Linked DNA regions of Nothobranchius furzeri. The protein of the gene in region 2 purifies or fractionates together with the protein of the main gene of each other region. This does not show direct contact. Links are inferred from orthologs where the notes say so. Each region holds a gene or a part of one and is shown on either strand. Other genes may lie near its edges.

Region 1 (3,656 bases), on a different chromosome or scaffold from region 2:
TCTAGAGTTATTTAAGTTCACTGACGATGAATCACTGATGAATGTGGATGGGTGAACTCACTTTTCATAGTACCAGCCTCTTGCTCATCTTCATCGTCAGAGTTGATGACCATGGTGCCAAGCTGTGACTGCATGGTTCCCGTGTCCGCACGTTCAATCATAGTACCGCTAAGTGAACCTGCTAAAGAACCAGCAGCCCGGATCGTTCCGGACTCACTTGGTGCCCGAACCATCGTCCCCTGGTCGACCTCATCTTCATCCTGACAGACGCAAAGATGGGAGAAGATTTTAGCTGAGTTAGCACTCCTATCTCTTGAGCTTGAATGACTGATTGTAATCTGGAAGTAAAACATTTGATTTATTCTCTATAGATTGGATCAGACTCTTATGTCTGTACCGAATTCTCTTCTTCATCTTGTTCTCGTTGTTCTGCCTCCTCTTGTATTTTCAGTTTTATCTCTATGGCGTCCTGGATCAAAGCTCGCAGGATGGAGTTGGGCTTTGCTGATTTGATAAAAGGATGCTGCAGGTGGGAAAAAACAAAAGTGGCTCTGAAATTTCTAATGTCTGATGCCTTTAAAATGCAGTCGTAACCAAAAGAAATGTCCGTTAGAGATAGGTAGCAGAAAGTGTAATAATGTTTTCCAGCCCAACACCGACTGCTTATTCCCAGTTTTTATTTGTTACCTGTAACAACTGAGTGGCTGTCGCTCTGTTTTCTGGGTTTTTCACCAAACATTGGCTGATAAAGTCTTGAAAGTTTGCCGACCACAGATCTGGGCTTCGAAACGTTGGAGGAGGGTTGGTGGGAATCATGAAGATCGCCTTTAGAAACAAATGAAACAAAAACATTTCATTAACCGACTGACTTGTGTGAGCTCAGACAAACCCACTGCCCCTTCCTCACCCTCATCGGGTGTATGTCGGCGTAAGGCGGCTTGCCTTCAGCCATCTCGATCCCGGTTATTCCCAGGGACCAGATATCAGCCACGCAGTTGTAGCCAATTTCCTGTATGACCTCCGGAGCCATCCAGAATGGTGTGCCGATGACGGTGTTTCTCTTTGCCATGGTGTCCTGAGAAGGTCAAGAAAAAATCCAAGGGAACAAACGCAGCTGGTAACGTTTTCAATTCAGCTCCAGAGAAGATTTTTTAACGTCAGATGCATTATATTTGTATTAGTGTAAGAAGCGACAACAGATTCCACTTTCTCCCTTTAAAAAATAGCATTTTAACACAGAGTTTAAACTCAGAGGTTCTTCTTACTGTGAGCTGTCCAGCAACCCCAAAATCAGCCAGTTTAGCTTGACCTTCAGTGTTCAGCAGGATGTTGCCTGCCTTGATGTCTCTGTGGATCTTCCTCATGAAGTGGAGGTACTCCAAACCCTTCAGGGTCGACTGTAGGACGGTGGCGATCTCCTCCTCTGTCAGCTATAAAGCCAAAACACAAACATGTGGTTATTATGGGATGTGACCCACAGCAACAACCTATAACACTCAACCTTGGTGCATACAGACAACAAAAACAGCTTCAGTTCATATTTCACTTTTAGTGAGAAAGAAAGAAACAAAATGGGTGTTTCGGCTCTGTTGTCTCCTGTGGTTTTGATGTTTCGGCCGAAAGCCGAAAATTTCAGTGGCTGAATTTTCGGTGCATCCCAAGTTTATTTGGATGTTAAAATTGTGAAAACTACCTTTGTTATTGTCACAAATCAGTGCCAAGTCTGGATTTAAACCATAAAATACAAAAACAACAGCAAAACATTAGAAATGGCTGAGCAAACTGGTGAAAGTCAGATTTACATGCTGATTCTTCCCCGTGCATTATGGGTAAAGCATCAGCCTTTCCCTCTTTGACACCTGACACAGTCTGCTGCACAAACACATGCAGGTGAGTGTGTGTGTGAGTGTTAAGTTACCGTCTTGTTACGTATTCGGATGATGTCAGACACAGATCCTCCGCCACAATATTCCATGACGATCCACAGGTCGCTGTTTTTGAAATAGCTGCCATAATACCTGACCACATGAGGACTGAACAGAGACAGGAGTCTAATCACAAGGATCATTTTGTTTGTTTATTTATACAAACTTGTTTCATGATGTTCCAACAGGTTTACCAAATACAAGCTCCTGAAATAACTGACTGATAATCTTATTCATTGGTAACTGGCCTGTATTTGATAACATTTAGATTTTTGTTTTGAACCTCCTGAGACCATTCTTGCCCTTTAAAACTTTGTTCTCTTCAAATTAGATCTTTTTTTGTTATTATTTAGAGAAACTTGCCTATCAGGAACTGCTCTGGAATGGTTCTCCTCTTATCTATCTGAGGGATCCTTCTCTGTGGCCGTCTCCAAGTTTAGGTCCTCCACCAACTCCCTCACCCATGATGTCCCACAAGGTTCTGCGCTGGGGCCTCTGCTCTTTCTCCTCTATCTGCTTCCTCTTCAGCACATCCTGAGCTCCTTTAAAGGAATCGCCTACAATCGTTATGCAGATGACATCCAACTGTACATCTCCTTTAAACCCCATGAGATGTCTAAGCTGCAGCTGTTACACATCTGCTTAGACTATCAAAACCTGGATGGTGGGAACTTTCTACAGCTAAATGAAAGGAGGGCAGAGATCCTCATCTGTGCCCCAGACAAGCTGGTTCCCAAAGTCAGAGACTCTCTTGGTCAGCTTGCTTCTCACACCAAACCCTGTCAGGAATCTTGGTGTGACCTTTGACCCAGCTCTCACCCTGGATTCTCATGTCAGTTCTCTTGTTCGCTCTTCCTTCTTCCATCTCAGGAACATTGCTAAGCTGAGTCCCATCCTGCCCCACACTGAACTTGAGACAGTTATCCACACCTTCATCTCCTCACGCTTAGACTACTGTAACTCTCTTTTCACGTGTCTGAGCAGAACCTCCCTGAACCGGCTACAGGTGGTTCAGAATGCCTGTGCTCGGCTTCTGACCAAGTCCTCCAAACACACCCACATCACCCCGCTTCTCCTCCAGCTTCACTGGCTGCCAGTCAACTTCAGGGTTCATTTCAAGATCCTGGTTCTGGTCTATAGGGCCTTACATGGACAAGCACCATCATACATTGGTGATCTTCTCAGTCCCTACACCCCCAGCAGGTCCCTGAGGTCCAGTGACCAAAGCCTACTGGTTGTGCAGCACCAGGCTAAAGACCAAAGGTGACAGATCATCTCCTGCTGTGGCCCAAAGACTCTGGAGCTCTCTCCTCCTGAGCCTGAGATCAGTGGACTCAGTGGTCTCCTTTACACTCACCTGTTCAGGCTTTGGTGGGACCTTCTATTGATTCTTCATCACTACCTTCTTTTCATGCTGCTATTTCTACCAATTCTGCCTTTCTCAGGATCCTGCATTACCTTTTTCTTGTCCACTTTTGCCTTCCTTATTTAATATTTTGTTCACGTTTATGAGTCACGTTTGTTACTAATATGTAATCGCTAGTAGGGATGTGAATCTTAGAACAACTCACGGTTTGATTCGATTCCGATTCTTGGGGTGCTGATTCGATTCAAAATCGATTCTTGATTTAAATCAATTCACAATCAGTATTAACAAAGAGTGTCAGCTCCAGGATTAACTACTTTGTTGTACAAGTTAGTTAAAGCTATGGGACATTTTTATCTGACTTT
Region 2 (4,147 bases):
GTTGTAACGTGGCATTTATACTTTATTGAAATCAAACAAATGTACCAGAAATTTGGATTTAAAAAGGTATAAAAAGTTAGTTACAAGTAGATCCTAGCACATACTGATTGTTAGCATTAGCGATAGCATTATTATCATGAAATAATGAAAAAATCAGCTGTGAAAATCCAAAAACCTTTTACACCTGAGACTGTAATACTTTTTACACATGCTATTCAAATAAAATTTGGCCAATATCTTTAAGAATGTGAATAGGTGTAGCTGTTGTTGTGTACCTGTGAAAGATAGACATTTTCTCTGTGACTTCATAAAATGGCACAGATAATGTATAAAGCACAAAATAACTTGCTTTGCTGCAGTACTCAGAAGCTGTTCAAAGTCAGACAGAGTCAATATGACTTAAGGGGAACAGAATTCTTTAACAAAAATAAGATAAGGACAACTGTAAAGCAGAGATGTGTTTCTGTTAGATGAGTCAACCTGTGGAATAGCTATGACAGTGATTTAAAAAGATGTAGTTCATTGTCCTTGTTTAAAAATATGTTTAAAAATAGAATATTAGAAAAATATATAAACCAAGAATGAAAAGAGCAAAAATAATACTGAACCTCTTGATTGTTTTGCTTTGATGTAGTTACTTATCTAAGGTGTACATTTTTTGTTTTGTTTGTTTGTTTTGCTTGTTTGTTTGTTTGTTTTGTTTTGTTTTATTCTCAGCATGCAGCTCCAGGAGCTTCATGCAAAAAGATCTTTCTTAAAAGGGTTGGCGTAATAAGCAAATGCTTCAGCCAATACCTTTTGATTAGCCTTGTTTTGTGTTTCTTGCTTTGTGGTAATCTTTATTCTGTATTCATTGGAATATTTGAATGCTAATCAATAAAAATCAAATCAATCAAATCAAATCAACCAAGTTCCCGGTGAAAAAAACACAAAGACATTTGCACCACATAAATATCCATTTTGTGGTATGTAGTGCTCTATGTTGGCTATGTGAGCCCTTTTTCTACCTCTAATTTTGCAGCTGAATGCACACCAGCATGCTTCTGTCATGTGTGGCTCATAATGTCTTTCTTTCTTCACACACACACACACACACACACACACACACACACACACACACACACACACACACACACACACACACACACACACACACACACACACACACACACACACACACACATTCTGAAGGCAAGTCATATCTGGTGTCAGTCAGCCACTCCCTCTAAACGCTGTCTCAACGTGTTTTGCAATAATTAACCAGCTGCTGCGGTGTTGCTGCAAAGGCTCACCTCCCGCCACACGAACTATACACCAGACCTTTGAACACAGTCACTCAGATTCATAAACAAGACTCGAAACATGTAATGGACCTGCAACAATTTAATAGGAGATCTAAAGGCTGAACTGCACAGGTAGGAAGAAGCGTTCCTCTGACAATCAAATTAGAAGGCTTTAGCTGGAGCTACTACCACTACGTACACCTATTGTTTTCTATAAAAAAGAATCAAACATTTTCATCTTAAACTACTGACAAATGTTTGCCAAATTCATTGTCAATGTGTCATTTATTTTGTAATTTTAAAAGTTTATCTCACAATTGACATTTATTATGGCTGGAGTTCCATCGTGATTTTGTTCCCTCGGACAAAGTGTCTAGGTTTGAAACCTGTAGACCCAAATAAAATCAGATCAGAATGTGCAATCAAGAAATCGTAAATGTGCCATGAGGACGGGGTATAACAGAAAGACAAATCTATGAAGAAGGGAAAAGGAAGGTCATAAAGTCAGAGACTGGGTGCGTACTGGTTGAGTGTGTCATTATCCACGTAAAGACTTGAACATCATCTTTAAAAGGCAACAACAAAGCACCATAGGACCAGTTAGTGCAACATCAACAACTGCTTTCTGAAATGTTTGCTTTAAAATAACTTCTAAAATCAGTTTAAATTAGCAGAAAGTTGAAGTATTTGGTTGGTTAATTATTTATTGTAATAATTAATGCATTAATACTTCTAATTACTAATTAACTGACACTTTTGACAGCGAATCTAATTCTGTTTAATTCCTTTTGAACGGAGCCAGAAAATGTATTTATTGTTTGAGCAGAACAGTTGAGTTTGTGGGTTTTAACCAACAACGATAATGCCAAAAATTCTCTGCCAAACAATGTTTTCTGCTTGTTTGGTGTCATTTATTTGATTGTATGGCTGAAGTTCCAGGAGACAAGATTTACTTGTAATCTAACAGCATGTGGAAGAGCCGAGTGCAGCCACAACAGGCCTGGTACCATTTCCTCATGCTGGTCACCAGTTTAAATTTGCATTTGCTACCAAAACACAAAAATGTTCTTGCATGAATGGTCCAGTGGCAAACCAAAATGTGGGGGTTTTGTTTGCTTTTCATAAAAGAGCTTGAGATCTTTTCAGTCAGTGTTCTAAAAATGAACACACCTCAGTGAGTATGTTGATTGGCTACATTTAGAGCTCAAGGTGTTTCCTTTATCAAAAGGCTTTTCTGACGTCATGACTCAGGTAGCCATTTTTCTCATGCATGATATGGAAATCTGAAGCGCACACGCACACACACACACACACACACACACACACACACACACACACACACACACACACACGCACAAAGGCTAAGTACATTAACTCGATGTTAGGTGTGCATCAATCCAAGTCTCAAGACTCAAGACTCAAGACAACTTTATTAGTCCCCGAGGGGCAATTCGAGACAGCATTGTGAAGCAGCCGGCACTAAAATCTCTAAATTCTAAAAACACATCCAAATTACACATTTGTAAAACCCATAAAAACCTATATACACAATCATGTCATAAACTCACATGTGAATGACCAACAATGATTAAAACTTTGGCTCACACACACACACACACACACACACACACACACACACACACACACACACACACACACACACGTAACTACATGCACACACACATACAAGTAATGCACACTCCCCCTATCTGCACTGAGAATTAAGAAGAAGCACAGCTCTGGGAACAAAGGAACTTCTCCTCTGTGTTTTACAGCATGGGCATCGAAGTCGGCGTTTGGAGGGCAGCCACTCGAAAACAGTATGAAGAGGGTGTGATGGGTCTTTAATGATTTTCTGTATGACCGTCTGTATGACCGGGACAGGTCTGTTCAGGAATCCACTTACAGGAAGTTGTTCCACAGAACAACCAGTTTGAACAGCTGCAGATATGGAATGCAGCTCTCAATAATTCATCTGAGCTTCTCTTTCAAATCTGACTGTTAGTTCCTAAAAAAGCCCACAGTGCTCATTGTGTTTGGCCTGTCGTATTTTGTTTGGCAGATTACCAAAGGAGATGAATAACAAATAAAAAATAGATTAATGTCAACTAAAATAATGTAAATATACAGATGACTTGGTGCCTCAGCAGTTATTCATATTGTGAGTTTGTATCTTGAGGAATGTCTTTAAATCTTAATATGTAGGGCAAAATAAACATTTTAATAAACTTAAAAATAACTAAAAAGTAAAACAATACAGTGGTAAATGTTTTGCAGATTTTAAAAGGGAAAAAAAATACTTAATTTGAAATTACATTAAAAGCAGTATTTTTGTGTTGGAGTAAGACCTTATCAACAGATGCCCATTAGGGTCAAAAAGCTCTGAGGAGTGCAAACTTTAGCAAAATAACAAGAACATCAGACTCCCCTTCACCACTGGCAACATGTGAGCAGGTGAATGTGTAAAACAATAACATTGAGTGATGCAAGTTTTGTAACCATTTGTATAGTAATATGGCGTCGCCCAGACCAGATTTTTATGGTTATATGTTACAAAGCCGCCAATTTTTTTCTGCAACTGGGCACCAATTCATTAATTTTCAACAACATTTTGATGGATATTTGCAGAAAGTAATGGTAGAAACTACATATTGTCTCTTTAAACTAGCAACAGTCACGGTGATGTGGTGTAAAACTATACCCTTAAATGTATGGACTGCTCCCTAGTGCCAGGAAACTACACACTGCCGCTGGACACTTAATTAACAATAATGGCAACTTTAACAAAAGGATCCTTTGTTTATTAATGCTTAATAATGCACTGTGTAACATTAATAAAATGATTCTTATTGTAAAATGTCAAA

The links. The genes of interacting proteins can lie anywhere in the genome.
Region 1: the proteins of rassf6 (region 2) and serine/threonine-protein kinase 4 purify together in Homo sapiens (affinity purification with mass spectrometry; 5 studies listed by BioGRID and IntAct, counting the BioPlex papers as one, with this or other methods). This does not show direct contact. The link is inferred for Nothobranchius furzeri from reciprocal best matches to the Homo sapiens genes RASSF6 and STK4.

Annotation. Positions count from the first base shown.
Region 1 is NC_091743.1:73,684,714-73,688,369, reverse strand, and holds part of serine/threonine-protein kinase 4, read right to left. Parts: intron 2,034-3,656; coding exon 1,919-2,033; intron 1,431-1,918; coding exon 1,266-1,430; intron 1,076-1,265; coding exon 908-1,075; intron 826-907; coding exon 688-825; intron 524-687; coding exon 398-523; intron 261-397; coding exon 62-260; intron 1-61. UniProt on the Homo sapiens protein: Stress-activated, pro-apoptotic kinase which, following caspase-cleavage, enters the nucleus and induces chromatin condensation followed by internucleosomal DNA fragmentation.
Region 2 is NC_091746.1:44,755,725-44,759,871, reverse strand, and holds the start of rassf6 (ras association domain-containing protein 6), read left to right. Parts: upstream 1-1,280; 5' UTR 1,281-1,415; intron 1,416-3,058; 5' UTR 3,059-3,059; coding exon 3,060-3,103; intron 3,104-4,147.